Linked DNA regions of Coturnix japonica. The protein of the gene in region 3 purifies or fractionates together with the protein of the main gene of each other region. This does not show direct contact. Links are inferred from orthologs where the notes say so. Each region holds a gene or a part of one and is shown on either strand. Other genes may lie near its edges.

Evidence for each region.
Region 1: the proteins of LSM4 (region 3) and MEPCE purify together in Homo sapiens (affinity purification with mass spectrometry; 3 studies listed by BioGRID and IntAct, with this or other methods). This does not show direct contact. The link is inferred for Coturnix japonica from reciprocal best matches to the Homo sapiens genes LSM4 and MEPCE.
Region 2: the proteins of LSM4 (region 3) and WDR77 purify together in Homo sapiens (affinity purification with mass spectrometry; 3 studies listed by BioGRID and IntAct, with this or other methods). This does not show direct contact. The link is inferred for Coturnix japonica from reciprocal best matches to the Homo sapiens genes LSM4 and WDR77.
Region 4: the proteins of LSM4 (region 3) and PATL1 purify together in Homo sapiens (co-immunoprecipitation; 4 studies listed by BioGRID and IntAct, with this or other methods). This does not show direct contact. The link is inferred for Coturnix japonica from reciprocal best matches to the Homo sapiens genes LSM4 and PATL1.
Region 5: the proteins of LSM4 (region 3) and SART3 purify together in Homo sapiens (affinity purification with mass spectrometry; 4 studies listed by BioGRID and IntAct, counting the BioPlex papers as one, with this or other methods). This does not show direct contact. The link is inferred for Coturnix japonica from reciprocal best matches to the Homo sapiens genes LSM4 and SART3.

Annotation. Positions count from the first base shown.
Region 1 is NW_015439878.1:132,627-137,368, forward strand, and holds MEPCE (7SK snRNA methylphosphate capping enzyme), read left to right. Parts: upstream 1-1,350; 5' UTR 1,351-1,450; coding exon 1,451-2,665; intron 2,666-3,524; coding exon 3,525-3,743; intron 3,744-4,212; coding exon 4,213-4,339; intron 4,340-4,428; coding exon 4,429-4,481; 3' UTR 4,482-4,546; downstream 4,547-4,742. Other genes in the region: ACTL6B (actin-like protein 6B), read left to right, coding at 238-324, 416-496. UniProt on the Homo sapiens protein: S-adenosyl-L-methionine-dependent methyltransferase that adds a methylphosphate cap at the 5'-end of 7SK snRNA (7SK RNA), leading to stabilize it.
Region 2 is NC_029541.1:3,354,433-3,357,481, reverse strand, and holds the end of WDR77 (methylosome protein 50), read left to right. Parts: intron 1-89; coding exon 90-198; intron 199-325; coding exon 326-394; intron 395-595; coding exon 596-755; 3' UTR 756-2,187; downstream 2,188-3,049. UniProt on the Homo sapiens protein: Non-catalytic component of the methylosome complex, composed of PRMT5, WDR77 and CLNS1A, which modifies specific arginines to dimethylarginines in several spliceosomal Sm proteins and histones.
Region 3 is NC_029543.1:3,005,623-3,010,426, forward strand, and holds the start of LSM4 (U6 snRNA-associated Sm-like protein LSm4), read left to right. Parts: upstream 1-1,564; 5' UTR 1,565-1,679; coding exon 1,680-1,682; intron 1,683-1,806; coding exon 1,807-1,848; intron 1,849-1,976; coding exon 1,977-2,075; intron 2,076-4,223; coding exon 4,224-4,407; intron 4,408-4,804. Other genes in the region: PGPEP1 (pyroglutamyl-peptidase 1), read right to left, coding at 1,257-1,290. UniProt on the Homo sapiens protein: Plays a role in pre-mRNA splicing as component of the U4/U6-U5 tri-snRNP complex that is involved in spliceosome assembly, and as component of the precatalytic spliceosome (spliceosome B complex).
Region 4 is NC_029520.1:202,151-207,131, forward strand, and holds the start of PATL1 (protein PAT1 homolog 1), read right to left. Parts: upstream 3,333-4,981; 5' UTR 3,277-3,332; coding exon 3,262-3,276; intron 2,969-3,261; coding exon 2,857-2,968; intron 2,780-2,856; coding exon 2,490-2,779; intron 1,880-2,489; coding exon 1,685-1,879; intron 1,595-1,684; coding exon 1,493-1,594; intron 1,392-1,492; coding exon 1,302-1,391; intron 1,206-1,301; coding exon 997-1,205; intron 929-996; coding exon 845-928; intron 689-844; coding exon 505-688; intron 287-504; coding exon 172-286; intron 84-171; coding exon 1-83. Other genes in the region: syntaxin-3-like, read left to right, coding at 4,271-4,300, 4,939-4,981. UniProt on the Homo sapiens protein: RNA-binding protein involved in deadenylation-dependent decapping of mRNAs, leading to the degradation of mRNAs. Acts as a scaffold protein that connects deadenylation and decapping machinery.
Region 5 is NC_029530.1:5,657,168-5,660,150, reverse strand, and holds part of SART3 (squamous cell carcinoma antigen recognized by T-cells 3), read left to right. Parts: coding exon 1-168; intron 169-409; coding exon 410-562; intron 563-2,108; coding exon 2,109-2,296; intron 2,297-2,897; coding exon 2,898-2,983. UniProt on the Homo sapiens protein: U6 snRNP-binding protein that functions as a recycling factor of the splicing machinery. Promotes the initial reassembly of U4 and U6 snRNPs following their ejection from the spliceosome during its maturation.

The DNA.
Region 1 (4,742 bases), on a different chromosome or scaffold from region 3:
GTTCCCCCCCAGTTCCACCCACTCCTTCCCAGTGTCCACCAGTCCCTTCAATCCCGATTGACCCCCCAGCACCCCCGATCCCCCCCCACTGCACCCCATTCCCTCCCCTATAGCCCCCTATTGCCCCCCAGTCCCTCCCAGTGTCCTCAATCCCCATTCCAATCCCTCCCAGTATCCCTTTTAGTGCCCATCCTGGTACCCCCCATTCCCTCCCATTCATTCCCCCCCCTCACACAGAGCATGCGCCTGAAGCTGATCGCCAGTAACAGCACCATGGAGCGGCGCTTCAGCCCCTGGATCGGGGGCTCCATTTTGGCCTCCCTTGTGAGTTGGGGGCGATACAAACAACGTGGGGGGGGGGCAGCGATTTGTGCCCCCCCATCTCCCCCCCCCCGACCCCTCCCCATGTTCCCAGGGCACGTTCCAGCAGATGTGGATCTCCAAGCAGGAATACGAGGAGGGGGGCAAGCAGTGCGTGGAGCGGAAATGCCCCTGAGCCCATTAACCCTCGTTAACACGGAGCGAAAGAATGAGGAGAAAATAAACGGAACCGGAGCAAAAAGAGCCGATAAATGGAACCCCCCCCCCCAGGCCTGGAGCTGGGCGCAGGCCTCGATAGGCCGCACTGCTGTGAATGGGGGCTCAGCGCCTTCACAGCGGCACAGGGAGGGGCCTGGAGCCGCCTGGGCGGTTGGGGCCGGGGTTGTGGCCGCTGTTATTTCGGTGACATCTTTTTTTTTTACCAAAATCGCCCGTTTTTCCCTCAAAACGCGGCCTCGCGCCTCCGCTTTCCCTCCCGCCGCGGGAGCGCGCTCAGTGCGCACGCGCTTCCCCCTCAGCGCTCCGCGCCACATGTGCGCATGCACGACGCACAGAGGGCGCCCCACTGCGCATGCGCGGCGCGCCGAGGCTGTGCGCATGCGTCACGTGCGCGCGCCGACGGGTGACGCGTGCGCCGTGTGCACCCGGCGTCTGCGCACGCGCATTGGCGAAAGGCAGCCGCTCTGCCGCCCGTGCGTCCCGCGCTGCGCCGTCACCGTCCGGGATAACGGGGAGCAGCGTCGGCCGCGGCCAGGAACGGCCGGGAGCCCAGCTGCCGCTGTAGCTTTTCGTTCAGGCACCGCCGTGGACAGCCCAGAACCGCAAGGCCCCCGCGAGGCCCCCGACGCGCTGTGCAGCCATTGGTCGCTACCCCCCTCTTCCGCGCGCCACTTCCTCCCATTGGCCGCCGCCCACTCCGCCTCCTACCGATTGGCGCAGCCCTCCGTCCGCGCGCCACACGCCATTGGCCGTCTATCGGTTGGGGGGCGGGGCCCGTCGTGGCCCCGCCCCTCGGCTATATAAGGAGGCGCAGGGTGCGACTCGCCTGCCATCGCGGGAGGGAGGTGGCGCGCGCCGCACCGTCCGGCTCCGGCTCGTTGGACTCGGCGGTGGGCGGAGCGGCCGGGCCATGATCGAGATGGCGGCTGAACCCGACGCGTTCCGGGCCCCTCCGCCGCCTTTAAGGACCGGAGAACCACCGGGGGGGGGCGGGCCTGCACCGGGCGGCACCGACACCACCGGGCCCCAGCGGCGGAGGGGACGGGAGGAAACGGACGGAGCGGGGGAGGCCCCGAGACCCAGGAACGGCTTCAGAGCGACCGGAGGAGGCGGCGGGGGGGGCGGAGGGGGGGGAAAACGGCGGAGCAGCTGCACCGGATCCAAACAACCGCCGTGGAAACGGCGCCGGAGAGCGACGTCGGAATGTGACCCCGCGCTGCCGTCCGAGTTCCTGCTGGGGGGGAACATCTTCGACCCGCTGAACCTCAACAGTCTCCTGGACGAGGAGGTGAGCCGCACGCTGAACGCACGCACCCCGCAGTCATCACCGCTACCGGCACGAGGACGGGACCCCGTGGAGATCCTCATCCCGCGGGACATCACCGACCCGCTCAGCCTCAACGCGCCCGGGGGGGATGACGGGCTCCGTCTGGCATCACCTGCCAAAGCAACGCGACGTCGGCATCGCCACCGGGGTCAGCAACGGGGGAACAGCACCAACAGCACCAACAATAGTATGGAGCCAGAGAGCAGCACGGAGCACGGGAACACGGCCAGCAGCAGCACCAACACGGCTGGAAACAGCAGCACAACGTGCTCCAACAGCCGGCACCGTAAGAGGAGAAGGACTTGTAGTAAATCAGAGGCCGCCCGATCTACGGCGTCACCGGAGAAAGGGAAAGGGGGAAACAACGGCCCTAAAACCCCCACGACGGCCCCACGGCGCCGCAAGAGCCAGAAGTTCCAATATGGGAATTACTGTAAATATTACGGCTATCGCAACCCGGATTGCGAGGACGGGAGGTTGAAAGCCATGAAGGCCGAGTGGTTCACCGGGAAGGAGGTGCTGGATGTGGGGTGTAACGTGGGGCACGTCACGCTCAGCATCGCCAAGAGGTGGGGGCCCAGCAGAGTGGTGGGGCTGGACATTGACGGGGCCTTGATCCGCTCGGCCCGGCAGAACATCAGGCATTATCTGTCCGAAGAAATGGCCGCCGTGGAGGGAGGGGGGAGGAAGGGGTTCCCTGCGGCGCTGCTGGCCAGCAGGGGACCCATCGCTGCCCCACGGCTGCCCCCCGACGGGCCCGGAGCCTCCGACTTCCCCCATAACGTCGTGTTTGTCACGGTGAGGGGGCGGGGCTAAAGGGAGGGGGCGGGGCTAAAGGGAGGGGGCGTGGTTTGGGGGTGGAGCCAATCGGAGAGGCGGGGCTAATGGGCAGGGGCGGGGTTTGGGGCGGAGCCAATTAGAGAGGCGGGGCTAAAGGGAGGGGGCGTGGTTTGGAGGCGGGGCTAAACGGAGGGAGCCTGGTTTGGGGCGGGGCTAAAGGGAGGGGGCGTGGTTTGGGGCGGAGCCAATTAGAGAGGCGGGGCTAAAGGGGGGCATGGTTTAGAGGCGGGGCTAAGGGGAAAGGGCGTGGTTTGGGGCGGGGCTAACGGAAGGGGTGTGGTTGGGGGCGTGGTTAAGGAAAGGGGGCGGGGTGTTGGGTTGGGGCGGGGCTAAAGGAAGGAAGCGTGGTTAAAAGAGTGACATAGAGTGAATGGGCGGGGCTAAGTTTGGGGGCGGGGCTAAAGGCACAGCAGGTTTAAGGGGCGTGGTTAAGGGCGGGGCTAAAGGGGGCGTGGTTGGGGGGTGGGGCTTTACAAGGGGTTTGATTTTAATATGGGGTGTGGCTAAATGAAAGGGGTGGGGCTAAAGGAGGGGGTGTGGTTTGGGTTGGGGTCAATAAATGGGAAGGTGACACAGTTGGGGTGGGGGTAAATAGGGGGTGTGGCTAAAGGGGTGGTGCCGATGGAAGGGGGTGGTGCTTTGAAGGGGCTGTGATTAGGATGTACATGAAGGGGTGGGGCCACTCCCCCTTTTCTAAGTTCAATCCCCATCGTTTTTGAAGATCTCCTTTAATCTGTTATTTAACCCCCCCTACCCAGTCTCTTCCCCATTGCCATGAGACCCCTCCTAACCTCTCTCCCACCCATCCACCCCATAGGGCAACTACGTCCCCGAACGAGAGGAGGCGGTGTGGGCCCAGCGCCCCGAATTCGACGTCCTGCTGGTTCTGTCCCTGACCAAATGGGTGCAGCTCAACTGGGGGGACGAGGGGCTCAAAAGGTTGTTCCGTCGGGCCTACAGACACCTCCGGCCTGGGGGGCTGCTGCTGCTGGAGCCACAGCCATGGGCTTCCTACCGCAAGAGGAAGGGGCTGACGGTGAGATGAATGGGGTTATGGGGCACCAATGGGGGACTGGGGGGGATATGGGGGTTGGGGGTGCGGGATGGGGGTCTGCTCTTGTCTGTGGGATGGGTCCAGCTGTGAGCCTTTGGTTGTGGGACCCCTATAACCCTCCCCAAAGTCCCCAGCTGGACTGTGGGAACCTCCCTCAGAGCCTTCAGCTCTTTAAGATCTTCCCACCCATATCCTCCCAACCCCCTCATTGGAGCCCTATAACCCTCCCCCCAAATCCCCTTAACTCACCAAGACAACCCCCCCCAATCCTCCACTGCAGCCCCATAATCCCCCAAACCCCGCTCCAAAAGCCCCAGATCCCTCTCCTAATTCCTTCCAACACCCCATTGCCCCCACAGAACCCCTTATAACCTCCCCTCAGCTCATAGTTGGGTTATGGGGCCTTTAGTTGTGTGGCCCCCTCCCCATTTTAACCCTCTCCACCTCACAGGAGACAACGTACCGGAACTACCACCGCATCCGCCTCCGCCCGGAGCAGTTTCCCTCCTATTTGACCTCCCCCGAGGTCGGCTTTGCCAGCTACGAACTGCTGGGGACCCCTCAGCACAGCGCCAAAGGTGGGGGGGGGGGACACAGCGTTTATGGGGGAGGGGACAGACGGGTCATACCCCTCCCCTAACACCCATCTTCCCTTTTCCTATTCCAGGCTTCCAGAGGCCCATTTATCTCTTCCACAAAGGCCAAGGAGACGCCCCCTGAGCCCCCCCCCCGCAGATAAAAGGAGATTTGGATGGAAGGGGTGCCCCCCCCCCCCACTGCCAGCCTGAGGTGCAGCTTCCCCCCCCCCTTAGATCCGCTGCACCACAGGTTGCAAATGGGGGCAGAGGCTGCGGGTCCAGTAGGGGGGTGTCACGTTTGTGCAGTTTGGGGGCACTCACTGCATTTGTTCTGGGGGGGGTTGAGGTCGTTCATTCTCCCCCCGGCAGTTGGAGGTTGATCTGTGCTGATCTGGGCCAGGGG
Region 2 (3,049 bases), on a different chromosome or scaffold from region 3:
TACTGTTCATCTTTCACAAGACAAACTGAGGTCTTTCTTTTCACGTGGCAGCTTTGCTGATAACCTCGTTCTCTCTTCTCCTCCTAAAGGTGATGAAAGTGGAACGGTTGCACTAGTAGACACAAAGAATCCTGATTCTGCCCTCAGCTCCATTGTGCACGCCCGACGTATTACGGGCTTTGCATTTTCTGCACATAGGTACTGTCTAAAACAGGGGTGTAGGGTGTACAACTACGTACACTCAAATGCCAGAGTAAAGCATTTTTTTCATTAAAGCTTTTGTGTATTTAATTGTTCTAACTGTGGTCTCTTCTCTGCCCTATAGCTCACCTTTGCTGGCTTCCATCAGTGAAGATTGTACAGTAGCTGTTCTCAACTCAGACCTTTCAGAGGTGTAAGTACCAGACAGTGTATTCACTGGGGCTGTTTCTCTTGCTGATTTCTCACTAATTATTTATGTACCAAAGGGAAGATGAAAATACTCCTTAAACTGGGGAACGTTGTCCTAACAAACAAGTAATTAGGAAGTGTTCAAACCCATATATTCATAGCAGCATTGCTTCATTGCTTCATGGCTGATTGCTCTGTTTTCCAGGTTCAGAAGCCGTTCTCATCGAGACTTTGTCAAAGGTTTATCATGGTCTCCTTCAGACAATGCCTTGCTCACTACAATTGGATGGGATCATCAGGTTTTACATCACACTGTCCCCATACCAACTGGTGAAGCTTCCGGAATCAACTGTGTAAAAGAATAGTTTTATAAACTCATTGGTCTAAATTCCTTCCTGGCATTACTTTGGTTCTCCTGAAGTCGACGATGTTTGTGAACTGGAGTGGTTATGGATTATTGTCTGCCTTGAACCTTGTGACTAAGAAGGTTCCTGTAGTAGTTTTGAGTTAAGCATAAATTAGTTGCAAACCAGACTGTACCACCTCCTCAGGAGTTGGATTCACCTGTGAAAAGACTGCAGTTTTTTATCCTGGAAAAAGAAATAGTGGCTTCAGCCACAGAGGAGCCTTGAACAGGGAATTAGGTATAATAAAATGAAAGACTTGTTTCTTCAAACCACTCACAGAATGAATAGAAACAGATTATTTGGGGAGGTAAAAAGGAACCACCTTTACTGAGGTAGATGCAAAAGCCTCACCTGAGCAAAGTGTTCACTGTTGAAATACTTCCTTCCAATGGGGCAGGAAAACGTGTTGGAATTTTAAGGGTAGAAGAGTTTCCTTGTTGTCTGTAGTGCCACAGTCAGTGTAGGTTGGTTTTTTGCATCTTCTATTGCAAATAATCCCACTGTGAGCACTGTATGTGCACTTCTGCTCCACTGGTGGGTATCAGTACCAGTGCTTGGTGTGATACGTCACATATGCTGTATGATAAGGATCTCAGCTGCAGTCATTAAACATCTTTGTGATGGTGCATGACATGCTGAAATACCAGGACCTGTAATGCTCAGCATTGCTTGGAGCTGAGAGCAGCTCAGAGGCTTTTCTGCAGCATGCTGAAAGCTGAGAGAAGTTCACTTGACACCACATTTCAGCTTCTCTGTGCTGAATGCAACTTACAGAATAAGGTTTGTGAACAGAAGTTCGTATAAGGGGAAAAACTGGACTAAGGACTTGAGTCTTCATTTTGCTGCTCCTGTTATCAGACTGCTTAGTGATAAATAAGGCTCCTGATACACATTCAATGAGTGACTGAGAAGATCAAGCAATTTCCATAATCCCCTCAAAGACTTCACGTAATCCTTAGAGGTTGGGTTTTGTTCTTTGGGTATATTTTTTGGGGGGTAATATAACGTACAACTCAAACCAAACTGTTTCCTTTCAACATATTTAACTGACAATAAACGGCATTGCTCTGCATACATGGCTGCTGCTCCAGGTGTGGCTTTCCTAGAGACAACAGTGGGTTTTAGCGAATGAAACAGAAACTACTGTTAAAAACAAATGCTACATTGCCCTTACTGTGATAGCAATGCTACACTGTAAACATCTACAATCATTTTTCAGAGCAAAATTCCCCATCTAGAGCATTGTAATCACAAAGAACAAGTTTCCTCCATGCTGCCCCTTGGAAGAGTTCAAGGCAAAAGGTTGTGTATTACAGTGCAGCTTGTGAACAAGATGTCTTTGCAAAGGATGGAAGATGGTTTTTAAATAAATCACAGTTTTCATTTACAACTGGCTCTTCAGTTTCACCTGGCTTCCTGTGCAACGCCAAGAGCCAGCTGAGGTCACGGCCCTGGAGTTACAACTGTGCTTAAATAAACTCACCGCATGCAATGCAAGCAGGGACAAGTTTCAAATAGGAAGTTTTAAACCACCTAAGTTCCTCAGCTAACCGTGCTGCAGAGCTCTGCAATCCATGGCAAAAAGTGATATAGTGGTGGAAGATGAGGATCATGTGGAGAAAAGGTCACTTGGTATTTCATTCCTGTTCTTGTACAGCTGATTAAAGACTTGGCATAGTAGCACATACTGGGCTTCAGCATCCTGCAAGCCTTTGGGTAAAGCTCTGTGTTCCACCGCAGGAGGGCAGCAGCATGACAGCAGAGGTTTGCATGCATTAAAGACCATCTACCCTTTTTACTGCTTGTTTTTTTTTCCCCCTACCATCATAAATAAGCACAGAAGTGCATCACTTTATTTAGTAGCTGCTACTGTGTTAGCTTACCAAGGCTATAAGCACTGGGAACCAACAAGGCCATAAGAAGCAGTGTCATACCAGCACAGGGGCAGAACACTGACACCATCACATCGATGCCCACTGACTTACAAGCTATTTGCAAAGGAACTGGAGGACTCTGGGTTTCATGATGTGCTGATGCTGCCCAAACTGCTTCACACCCTGCTTAGGTTTGGGGACACTGCTGTAATATATTGTGGCTAGAGAAAATGCTTCAAGATACATTGCACGCTTCCCTAATGAAGAACGTTGTTTTGTAGCCAGGATTAAAGAGATGAGAATGCAAATAAGTATAATTTGGAGGAGTGGAGAGAGTAAGCCACTCCGAAAACAAGCTGCCTTTTATGTTAGTGCTTG
Region 3 (4,804 bases):
ACACTTGTTAGCTATGGAGGAGCTGAGTGATGGCATAGAATGGGGATCATGATTGGATCTTCTAACCCTGATTGTAACAGCCCACAAACACAGACAAGTCTCCATCCAGCATTTCTCTGCTCACACCTTCACCAAAATCCCTTCTGCCTTAATAGGAACCAAACAAAGCACTGCTGACCCACCTGCACCGAGCACCAAAGGTTACACAACGCTATAAAAACACTTACGTCCCCAAATCTGCATTTCCTAATGAGTAACTCGGAGTTAACTAGTAACCCATCACATCTTTCCCTGAGCGAGCACACAAAGGTTGGGCATTTATCTGGGCGTGGGATCGATATGCTTTAATTTCAGATGGCAGAGCTACCCTGTGAGCCTAATGCAATCAGAAGGCACGCACTGCATCTAAGTCAGGACCACAAATATTACATGACACACTAATGGAAACCTCCCATGTGCTGCCAGCAGAAGGGGAGGGCTGAGGTTACACCGCACACAACAGCAACAGGGCTTTGTACAGCTCAATGGGATCTCAGTATCAACCTGAGCCTCCAAGCGGAACCAGCATCAATATCTCCCCATAATAACCCTCCTGAAGGCTCCCACAGGATCCTAATGCACTTGTTGTTTCTCCATATATAAGCTATAGATGTGAGAGCACCAAACAGGTGTTTCATTGGGATGGTTTCAATATGAATCACACCAGCTTTCCAGGTACCCCAATGTAACCAAAACCTCTCGTTCTGAACCCAACTGAGCTGCCCCCTCACTCATCCTCCACACCGACCCCCAGATCGATTCCTTGCATATCAGATGAGCAACTTTATGGGTAGCACCAAACCCAGCCTCAGCCACCCCACACCCAGCACAGGGTCCTGCCGGGCACACAGCACTGAGCCCACCCTGCAGACCTTCATGGGGTTGCAATGGGGTCTCAGTGCGACCATCAGGGGCAGATCCAGCACCATCAGCTCTGAATGTTTGAAGCAGAGACCACCCCCCAACCCCCCCGGGGCAAGAGATGGGACAAATACAGCGGGGACCGGGGGGGGGGGGTATAACCGGAGGGGTCTGTGACACGCCGCAGCCCCGTCGCGCCCCTCCCAATCCCCGTACACCCCCACCAGGACCCCGACACCCCCATGTGCCCCTCACCGCCCCCTCCCAATCCCGCATCCCCCCCGTTGAGATAATGGAATCAGAGCCCACCCTGCCGTCCCCTCCCCACCCCCCGGTCTCGTTCCATCCGCCCGTACCCGTTACCACCACCGCCCTCCGCGGTTTCTCCATCTCCGCTCCCGCACCGCACTGAGCGACCGGCCCCGCACGGTCATAGAGCGCGCTCCGCCCCGACGCCCAGAGCGGCCCCGCGCGGCCATAGAATACGCGCCGCCCCGAGGACCAGAGCGGCCCCGCGCGACCATAGAGTGCGCGCCGCCTCGCTGCCTAGAGCGCCTCCTGAGCGCCGCTCCGTGCCGCTTCCCGCTCGGCGTTTCAATTTACGGCACTGTCGTGACGCTGTGCACCGCCAACCTCGGCGATGCTTTACGGCCGAGGCGGGTCCTGCACGCTGATTGGCTCCGCGAGGACCGCGCCGAGCTCTGATTGGTCCCGTGTGGGGCCGGGGGTGGTTTGAGCGGCAGCGCCCGGCGCGGCGGCGGCTCCGCGGTTCCGGCACGATGGTGAGTGCGGGAATGGGCCGGGCCGGGCCGGTTCGGTTGTCCCGGTACTCCCTGAGCCCCTACATGGGGATCCGAGGCGGTCCCGGTTCCCGGTTGTTGAGGCCTTTCTCTCTTTCCCCCGCAGCTGCCCCTGTCGTTGCTGAAGACGGCGCAGAACCACCCTATGGTGAGTCCCGGCCCACTCCCGCTGCGGCCTATGGGCCCGGTGCCGCCCCGTCGGGTCCCGTTGGGTCCCCGTGCCGCCCCGTCGGTCCCGGTTCCTTCATGCTGACCCCCCCCCTTTGCTTCTTCCAGCTGGTGGAGCTGAAGAACGGCGAGACGTACAACGGGCACCTGGTGAGCTGCGACAACTGGATGAACATCAACCTGCGGGAGGTCATCTGCACCTCACGGGTAACCAGCTCAATGCCAGGACCCCCATTGCGCCCATAGACCCCCTACTTTGAACAGCATCAAAGCAGATCAGGAATGAGTTGTCCCCATTGCGCCCATAGACCCCCCCCATTGCGCCCATAGACCCCCCATTGCGCCCATAGACCCCACATTGCTATCAGCCCCCAGCCCTGCAGCTGAGTGGGACTCGCAGAGATCCTCACCCTTCTGTGTGTGTTGCTTTTGCTTTGAATGTGAATGTAACGCAGTTATGAGGTGTAAGAAACGAATGAGCCCATTGACAGCAGGGTGAAGGTGCTCAGTGTGAAGGGCTGGTGACAGGTCCTGTCCCATTGCCCGCTCCATGCAGCCCCATCGAGCACAGTGCTGCCTTTCATCATCACCTGCCTCACGCCCTGTAACTCCACATCAAAAGTTATTAGGGCCTCTTGTTTAACCGGGTTGTGCCTCGTCTGCTACTTTTGCCCATGGCCAAAGTGCTCCGAGAAGAGATTGGGATCTGTGCTTTGAGCTCTGACCTCAGCCTCAAGTGTCTGGTCTTGTCCCTGGCAGCCTGTGCCTGGCCACGTTCCTGCTGCTGCTGCTGCTCTCTGTGCCTGGGAACATCACGGGTCTGTGGGGGAGGCTGTCAGGGAAACCCTTCTTCTTCAGGAAGGGTTTCTGTGCCTGTTGGACCCACAGCAGGAAGGTATTGGCCAATAGTGCTGGGGCACGGAGATGTGATGTGTGTACTTAAACAAAGCAAAGGTTTAAGAAGGATCATAACAGCAGAGCAGTGAGCCCTAAAAATCTGGATCCACAGATTGTTGGGGCAGATAAACAGATAAGTTCAATGGGAAGGGGTGGCAAGTGGCAAAGCCTTACTAGTGCTTGCAGAACAAGGGATGCCGGCCTTTAATACTGCTTCCTCATTAAGCAGCTTTGTGTTGCTGTGGGCAGAGCACTTCAGCATTTATACCCACCGAGTGGTCTGCAGTTCACTCCCCACCCCTAAATACCCCCTGGGTGCTACTGGGGGGGTATATATGGAAGCCTTCCTGGTGGCACGGTGGGGATCAGCCACTAGATGGCATGGAGCTGCGGCAGCTGTTTACATGGGGAGCTGGAACGAGGAAGCCGGGGACCTGGCTCCATCCCTTCCTGCATAGAGAGCCAAAGTGCAGCCGGGCGGATCCAGGCAGGGTGGGGTTTGCTGGGTGCCTGTTTGAAGAAGGCTGCTTGTCTCACACACACGGAACTTGCCTGTGCATGCTGCATTGCCCCAAATAACACCGGAGCAGAGGAGGAGGGGGGTACAACTTGATTCTGGAGAGGTGAAACGAGGCATTCTGGTTTCACCCACTCCTCTGGGATGTTGTGGACACTCTGTCCATGTGTGATAGTTGTGAGGAGCCTGTGTTCAGCCAAGCCCTGCAGCAGAGCACGGCCGTGCGCACGAGGTTCCATCCCTCCTCCCGCTTACATCAGTTGTTGTTCAACTTTCACATGCAGTTCCTATTCCCACAGCCACAGGAGCTGAAGCCCTGATGGGCTGTGTCCTAGCAAAGCCCTGAAACTGCCTTAAACAAAACACAGAGGCAGCTGCTCCGTAACTTGGCACCCGAAGGTTTCTTTGAACGTGATCTGTAAGCTCTTATTTTCCACAGCCGCGGTTCCTGTGCGCTGCTGGGCTCACCCCACACCCAGCTGGATGCTCCTCGCTGCTCAATCCACACCACAAAGGGGTTCAGTTTGTAGGTGACTCTGGTTGGGGCTTTATGTGCTGGAACTGCCCCGTGTTGCAGCAGCTGTGTTGAACTTACCACATTTCCCTCTCCAGTCCCACTTTCGATTCTCTTCTTGTATGAGAAGCAAAGGGAAGGTGCTGTTTCCTCTTCTTCCTTCACTTTCTGTGAGAGTCAAAGGCGGTTGTGAACGGGCTGAAACTGCAGTGGCTCATGGCTGAACGCCCCCTGACTCCCCAGCAGGTTGTAGGGCTGCGTGTTTTAAAGGGAAAACAGGAATTTCACAGCTAATTATGGGTTGTACATTCAGAATAGACTATTACATCTGTCGCACGCTTCAGAAGTGATGGAGATATTCAAGTGTCAAAAAGCAACTTAAGTGCACGTGGTTTTGTTCTCAGCTTAACACGTTGCTTCCCAATAGGATGGTGACAAGTTCTGGAGGATGCCAGAGTGTTACATCCGTGGCAGCACAATTAAATACCTTCGGATCCCCGATGAGATAATTGACATGGTGAAAGAAGAGGTGGTCTCCAAAGGCAGAGGCCGTGGTGGGATGCAACAGCAGAAGCAGCAGAAAGGCCGCGGTGTTGGAGGTGCTGGACGAGGTAACGATCCTTTTTGCTTTTCAGTTCAGAGAGGGGGTGACTGGGATTCCTGCCTTTAAATTCCACCTCTTGTGCAAGGAAGGGATGATGCTTCTCAGTTTTGAACCCAGAGCTGTTGGTCTATGAGAAGCTGGAGCTGCTCCTGTGCAAGATCGAGTTGAGTGAGTGTTGTCTGGCTTCTAAGTCAGCCTCTGCCAAAGAGCAGAAAGGAGACGTGCCAGGGATGAGCCTCGTTCCTGGGCTGGGCAGGAGCTTAAGGGAGTCTCTGAAGCTGTCTGGTTCTGCCCCTCCTGGCTGGTTACAGAACACGGCCCCACCAAACTTCTGGTGTCTGTTGGCTTTGCAGATGTGGGAGGGAAACAAGTGGCTGTTCTGTTTGAAATTGGACTTGAATTTG
Region 4 (4,981 bases), on a different chromosome or scaffold from region 3:
GGAGGTCACCACTGCATCGATCATCTTCCGAGGGTTGTTCACACTGGAGACCGTCAGCTTCCCAAGAGAGCCCTCAAACTGCACTGCAGGACGGGGCATGGGATGCAGGGAGCCAGCTCCCGGGGTGAGACTGTTCTCCCTGCCCACAGAGCTGGGGAAGGAAGCACTAACCTGGCTTGTAGGTGTGCTCCAGCTTTGCCACCTGAGGGGTGATGAGCTTCGTACGCTCCTTCTTGGGACCATCTTCCTCAGCTGCTGACAGCTTCTCCAGCTTCTGGAAGTAGTTCTGGGACAGGGACAGGAAAGGTCAGGTAAGCACCCCAGGAGCAAAGTTCTCTCCCCCCCCGCTTCTCCTTCACACAGCAGTGCTTCAAGAGCACTCCATCCCAGTACCCACAGAGACAGCAACATCTTCTCCGATGCTCCTCAGCCCTCCCTTTCTCAAGGCAGGGTGTGACGGCTCTTCCCTCCCACTGGCCCCACCCCTGCCCTCCCTCCCAATACCTGATAGTAGTAGTCGTCCAAGTAGGGATCGGTGCTCTGCAGCTGCATCATCTGGATCTTAGACACCCAGTCCTTCTCCCGCTGCAGCATGAGGTTGGCGTAGGGGTCCTTGCGCACCTGCTCCTGGTGGCTGCCCCGGTGGCCCCCTCGGTCCCCCACCGAGCCGTTGAGGCCACGGTGCTGGCTGGCAGGAGGCAAGAAGGGCACCCATGAACACACAGGAGCTACAGGAAGGGACAGAGAGTGGTGCACAGGCTACCCCCGGCTGCATGGGCCCCCCAGAACAGCCGGCACCGGAGCATCGCCCACCTCCTCACGCTCCCTCCCGCCCAGTGCTCACTTTCTGTTCTGCTGCTGCCGCTGGTGCAGGAGCCGGCGGTGCTGGGGGTGCAGGTGGGTGGTGTCCAGTCGGAAGGGCTGCGGCCTGTGGGGAGCACAGGGGGTTAGAGGGCCGTGGGGCAGGTGAATGATCATGAGGGGGTCAGTGCCTACCTCAGGCCCTGCAGGTGAGGCATGGGGCCCGGCGGAGGCTGCGGTTGTGAGGGCGGAGTGGGGCCAGCCCCGAAGAAGGCACGAAAGCCACCAGTGGGAGCCATCATCTGCCCCACTCTGCCCTGCAGCAGCTTGGGGTTGACGGAGGGTAGTGGGCTCCCAACAAGGCCTGAGACTCGAGCAAACTGGCTAGGAGAAATTCGGCCAGCCTGTGGGGCAGAGGGAGTGCGGATCAGGCAGGGTCCATCAGAATGCTGGACCCTCGCCCCTATGGGCCTTGGGGGGCACAGAGTCTAGGGCTTTACCTGTGCACCTCCCAGCAGCTGTGCCCGCTGCAGGTGGGTGAGAACGGGAGAGACACTGGTAGGGAACGGGTGGCCCAGCAAGGAAGAGTTCTGCAGGAAAATAAAGGAGCAGACCCCTTGGTCACAGTCCTCCTAGGCAGTATGATGCAGTCGGGGCATCAGAGGGTTATGGGGGTGGGAGCAGGGGGTACCGGTACGTTGCAGAGCTGGTTGGGGGACATCCTCTCGCCGTAGGGAGCAGAGTAGCGCTGCTGCATGGTAGCCCGGATGTGGACAGGCTTTGGACACAGGATCTGAGAGAAGGAAAGCAGTGGGGGTCTGACCGCTGGATCCTCACCAGGGGTGCAGGGGTCTGCACCTGCTGTGAGGAGTTGGGGCCATACCTGCTGGTTAAAATTGGGCATGGTGGCCTGCTTGGGTGGGGTGCCGATGGGGACTGCTCGCACGGGGGGGCTCCCGATGATGGGGGAGGATGAGCGGCGTGGCAGTGCCCGTTCCGAGGGGTCCCGCTCCTCCTCCCGAGCCTGTGGGGGTCTCTGGGGCAGAGCGTAGTCCAGCACGGACAACGATGGCATCTCCTGAAAGTAAAAGTGGCCCTGTGAAAAAGACTCAGAGCTGGACGTGGTGGCAAGGTGCACTGAATATGACGTGGTATAGAACAGAGGAGCCGCCCCATTGCGCTTTCCCAGTGCTGGAGATCCCCACGCCCCAGCCAGGGTTCTCAGAGAGCCCTAAGGATCCTGCGCCCAGCTCTTAATTAAGCCTGACTCTCTGTCAACCAGCAATGAAAACAATTATGGCTCGAGGCACTGACGATCCCAAATCTTGAGTGCTGACACCATCAGGGATTGCGTGGCATCTCCCAGCCCAGAGGGAGCATGTGCAGGGACTAGAAGTGATGTCCAAGAGCAGCTCACCCAACAGCCACAGAATATCCCAAGCTGGGAGGGGCCCACAGGACCACTGAGTCCAACCCCCGGCCCCACATAGGAACGCCCCAAACACAAACCTACATCTGAGGGCATTGCCCCAACACTCCTCGAGCTCTGGTAGTGTGGGGCAGTGCCTGCTTCTCCGGGAAGCCTTCTCCACACCTACAGCCACTGTGGTGAAGAACCTCTTCCTAACACTCAACCCTCCCCCATTCCTGCAACCCTTCGTTGCGTGTGCCCAGCGTTGTGCCCCTACCTGTGTGAGCAGTGGCGTGCGGATGCGCTGCAGCACAGAGGGGCCATCCCAGATGCTGGTGTTGAGCGTCACGCTCTGTGCAGCAGACCCACGGGTGTGCACGGCTCTCATGATGGCAGGGTCCTCCAGCTCGCTCTCGATCACCAGCCGTGTCAGTCGCTCCGCCAGCGCATCCTCAGGTTCCCCCAGCAGCTCCGCATCCTCACTGCTGGGTTGGGCCTGCTGCCCTGAGCCCACGGGTTTCTCCTCCAGCTCAGCCAACCGCTCGTGGGCCTCCTGCCAGTCATCATCTGCACGGGAACGGCGGGCTGAGCGCAGCGGCAGAGAGCACCGGGTGGGCAGTGTGGACAAGAGACAGAGAACTCACCGACAGCCCCGGCCCCAAAGGTGTCATCGTTGAACTGATCGATGTCCTCATCCTCCTCGCCCAGCACCTGGAAGCCGTCCTCCTCCTCGTCCAGCGGGCACTCCTCCAGGGACTGCAGCGGCAGACGGTGCCTTCGTACCACCACGACTACCGAACCGGCGCTGCCACCGAGGCCAAGGCCCAGCCCTGCCCGGCAGCCCCGGTCCCGAGCAGCGGTCCCAGCACAGCGCCCACACCGACTCTCGGCCCTGAGCCCACAGCCTCGACCCTCAGCCCGACCCGCGGCCCCACGGCCCTGACCCTGAGCCCGTAGCCGCGGCCCCGAACCCAACTCGGAGTCCCGAGCTCCGACCCCCGCGGCCCGACCCCGCCCCCTCAGCCCCCTCAGCCCCTCCCCCCGCTCACCGGGTACCGGAACATGGCGGCGGCGGCGGCGCCCCCCGCCCGCAGGCTCCGCGCGGCCCGCTACGGCCCCGCCGCGCATGCGCCGCCGCGGGCGCACGCGCATGACGTCACCTCCTCCGCCCGTCCGTGCGGTGCGCATGCGCAAATGAGCTCCGCCCAGCCGAAGGCTCACAGAGCGCCGCGCCCCACTGCGGGCGGCTCTTAAAGGGACAGGCCGCCTTTTTCTGACCGCCTCCGTGCACTCGTGCGCCGTCGTGCCCCGGCCGCGCGCTGCTGCCCCAGCCGTGCCCCACACGCCAGCCACGGCTCAGCGATGTCCGCTGGGTCTTTCCCTCCAGTCGTGTCCCCCAGCCTGTGTCCCCCCACGCGGGACCCCTGCCCACGGACACGTCCCCCAGCTCACGTCCCCTAACCGTGGCCGTTCTCCCAAGTTCGAGCCCCCTATACACGGCCACGTCCCCCCAACCTGCATCCCATAGTTCATGTGCTCTACCCACGGCCATGTCCCCCGCTTCATGTCCCCTAACCATGGCCACAGCCCCGGCCCGTGTCCCCTACTGTGAGCCACATCTCCAACCCGTGCCTCCCATCCATGGCCACGTCCCACGGCCCGCGTCCTTCACCCTCAGCCACATCCCCACCTTGTGTCCCCCCGCCCGTTCCCTCCACCCATAGCCGTGTCCCCACTTCGTGTCCCAACACTCCCATCCCTTATCCATGTCCCTGTCCTCCAACCCACATCCCACCACTCACATCCCCTACCCATGGCCGTGTCCCCCTGTCCCTCACCACCCCCTGTCCCCCATCCTGTGCCGGGGCCACCTGTAGGCTGTGGTGACACTGCTGTCACTGGCACCTTTGTCACCCCCCCTCGGGTGCCTGGATCACACGTGGCTGGTGCGGGCAGCCCCGCCTCAGCCTTGCCCTCGTCGAGTGCCCATCAGCGGGGATTAGCGGGGCTGATGTAGGACGGCAGCGGGCGGGCGGCGAGTCCTGGCAGCCCGGCACCATGCGGGACCGGCTGGAGCAGCTCCGGGCGGTGAGGGGTGCAGGGCAGCAATGGGGGTCACCCGTGGGGGTACCCAATGATGGGTGCTGCCCTACGGCTGGAGGGGACCGGGGGTTTGAGCCCTGGGAGGGTTTGGGTTGGCTGCGTCCTCGCTATGGGGCGCAGGAAGGGATGTGGGACACGCGTGGGGCCCCCTGTCCTCCTTTAGGGTTCTTGGGGTGCTCCTCACGCTGCGCTGCCCCGCGGCCTCCGTGCTGCCCGTGGGGGATTTAGCGGGGATTAAGGGAGGCGCTGCCCACCATCGGGGGGGAGCGGGGGATTAGTGTTATTTTTACCCCAGAAATGGGAGGGGTGGGGGTGGCCGGGGCACGACACCGCGGTCATGGCAAGGGGGGATGCGGGGCAGAGGGGAGCTCGCGTGGAGCCGCCGTGGGGTGAAATTGGGGGCCACAAAGCCCCACGATGGAGCGCCCCATCCCTGTCCCCATCCCCGCCCACGGCCCAGCCCCGCAATCCGTTAATTCCCGCTGGCCAGATGCGAGCAGATGGCACCCGGCCGGCCCCCCCCCCCGCCGCACAGGGGCCACCGCGACCCCTCCCTGTCCTCGTCCCACACCCACCGCGTGTCCCCAGGTGTCCCCTGAGCATCCCCTCTCTGCTTCCCTCAGAAGCAGGATGCTGAGGATGACACCGACGAGCTGGAAATCGCCA
Region 5 (2,983 bases), on a different chromosome or scaffold from region 3:
ATCCGTCCAGTATTCAGCAACAAGGGGACTTTCCGGGGCTACTGCTATGTAGAGTTTAAGGATGAGAAGTCTGCTATCCAGGCTCTTAGCTTGGATCGTAAAGTTGTGGAGGGAAGACCCATGTTTGTTTCTCCTTGTATTGACAAGAACAAGAATCCAGACTTTAAGGTAAACTTGAATTCTTTCAATAGTATGTTGAATATGTTGGAATAAGGAGTTAATTGAACAGTGGGACCTGGCTTCCTAATTGAGCATCGTTGTGTATCTGTCAAGGTGCTGCTCATGTCTTTAATGGGTTGTTGTTTTAATCACAGAAATGTAACCCCAAACGCTTGAGTATTTTATAGTAGGTTGAAATTCCCTTTGTTTCAAACTGATTTGAGAACTAACAGCCTGTTAATTTCTGCAGGTGTTCAGGTATAGTACCACACTGGAGAAACACAAACTGTTTATATCTGGTTTGCCATTTTCCTGCACTAAGGAAGAGCTGGAAGATATATGTAAAGCCCATGGGAATGTGAAAGACATTAGGCTGGTCACCAACCGAGCTGGAAAACCCAAGGTAGGCATCATTAATACACTCTTAATTTCAATGAAATCCTTCAAAAAGAAACTTTTCATAAGATCTGGATACAAAAAGTAGGTCATATAGCTTAATGCAAGTACACTGAATGATTATTGTTGTCAGCCTTTGTACAACCCAGTGTGCTTTTATGCCAACAGATAAGAAAAAGAGGACAATGAGAATTTTTTTTCCTGAAATACTTATTCAATTGCTTAAGAAAAGTGTGTGATCTAATGGGGAGGAGGAAAGGTTATCTACAGCATTTTCAACTTAGAAAGAGGCATTCGTAAACCTGCAAAGAATATTTGTTTCTGAATAACCAACTGGATAGAGTTCACTTGTAACTGATTCCTTTCTTCCTCTATCTTCAGTTTCTTGATGCTATTGTTCAGGGCACCTGTTGCAATAGTACATTTGGCAGTGAGAAATGAGACACCTTTCTGGCAGGTGTTATTTCCATGCTGGAATAAATGGGTGTTTGTTAACTAAGAACTAAACCAGTTTTGGCTGTACTGCCAAAATTCCACCTGGAAACTCTGCCCTGTCTGGATGTCAGGCACTTCCACCAGGTGCCATGCTGGTGGTGATGTGTATGCATTTTAAATTGGATTTTTAACTTCTGTTAATATTTGGAGCATATATTCTAAAGAGTTCTCTTTTGGTATCCCAAGCCTTGTGTAGTCTGTGTTCTCTGCTGTGAGAGCTGTGATTTTATTTAAACCACAATTAAATACACTGGAATCAAATATGAATCCTGGTGTATTTCCAGTCCTGCAAAACTGGATAATCCAAAAACACAGCATAAGGGTTTGAGTGGGACTTAAGAATCACAATAAGAGAACTGGGAGGTGATGCCTCCCAGCCATAGTGCACTCCCTGATAGCAGCCTGGTACAGCAGATGCCAAGGGGAGGCCTTTTCCTTTGCTCTGCTGGAAACAAGACACCGTTACTCAAGGTGTACCAGCAGCAGGTGGTTAGCAGCTGTTACCTTGTGAAAGCAACACAGATTCATTTCCTGCAAAACAGGCTTTTGTCATCAGTCTCTGTTCTGGAGGCAGTGATTCCAGTCTCTTAAAATCAGTGCCTTTATGTTGTTATTGCTGCTTGGGGTGGCTTTTACTCCACATGAAACTCAGGTGGGCCTACATTAGTGGGCTTGCTTCTGTAGATGCAAACTGAGAGTGTTTTTGTGGATCCTTCTGTTCTATCTGTGTGGATTTATGTGTTTTCACCCCCTGTGAACCCAAATCTGTCCAATACCAGATGTATCCTGGATGGATGTATAATAGATATTTAGAAGTGAAGCCTTGTTGCTGAGGCAATACTTCGTGACATTTTATTGGGATCTTTCTTCATTATACATGAAGAAAGAATGTAGGATATAGATTTGCGTAAGAAAGAACTTCTCTTTAGTTAGTCTTAAAGAATACTGGGATTTGTGGCTTTGTTTAGCTCCACTTTCTGTGTGGTGTTTTCTATTCCAGCTGTCATGCAGAGGAAGAAGCACTAAAACTAACGTGGGTTACCTCTTTCCTTATTTAGGGCCTGGCCTATGTGGAATTTGAAAACGAAGCCCAGGCCTCGCAGGCTGTGCTGAAAATGGATGGGCTGACAATTAAGGAACACGTCATCAAGGTGGCAATCAGTAACCCACCTCTCCGAAAGCTGCCAGACAAGACTGAGGCAGGCAGAGCCTCCCAGTTTGCAGTACCACGGCAGATCTATGGAGCGTGAGTACTGGCAAGGGAGACAGCTTGGCCATGCTTAGAAAGCAAACATTGGGTTTCTTTGTAGGCAAAAACGTAGGAATTCCCTCTGGAATGTGAGGGAACATCTAAAATGTACTGAATAATAATAGTAGTAATTGATTGATGAGGAAAAGTAGACTTTTCTTCTTCACATTAGCGATAGAAATAGGTCTATAGTGACCAAGAGGATACATTGGACATCCTGGGGTGTGTTGTTCATACCTGAGCCCTTTTAACTTTCACAGCCTCTTCTTCCAAAGAGCTGACTGTTCACAGTGAGTTCTGAGGCTACTCTTTTGCCTCCCGAGTGCTCTTGCTGCTTGCAATTGCTGTCGCTCTGTGCATGCCCTGTAGATAAAACATGGAGCTTCAGTTTCTGGGATCTGCTGGGCAGTTTTTTCTGTCAGGAATGCTGTTTCAAAGGGTGTCCATTGAAAGCACTGCTTACTACTGAAACAAATGGCAAGAATAATATTTAATGGGTGTTCCCTGTAGCAAACAAAGAGCTTTCTGTTTCTCTAGACTAGAACAGTATGCTCATAGAGCATTAGGATGTTTCTAAGTGCCATTTTTTGCTTTCCAGGCGAGGGAAGGGAAGGACACAGCTTTCAATGATGCCTCGAGCATTGCAACGCCAGACTAATCCTGTGGCTAAGGCTGAGAATGGGG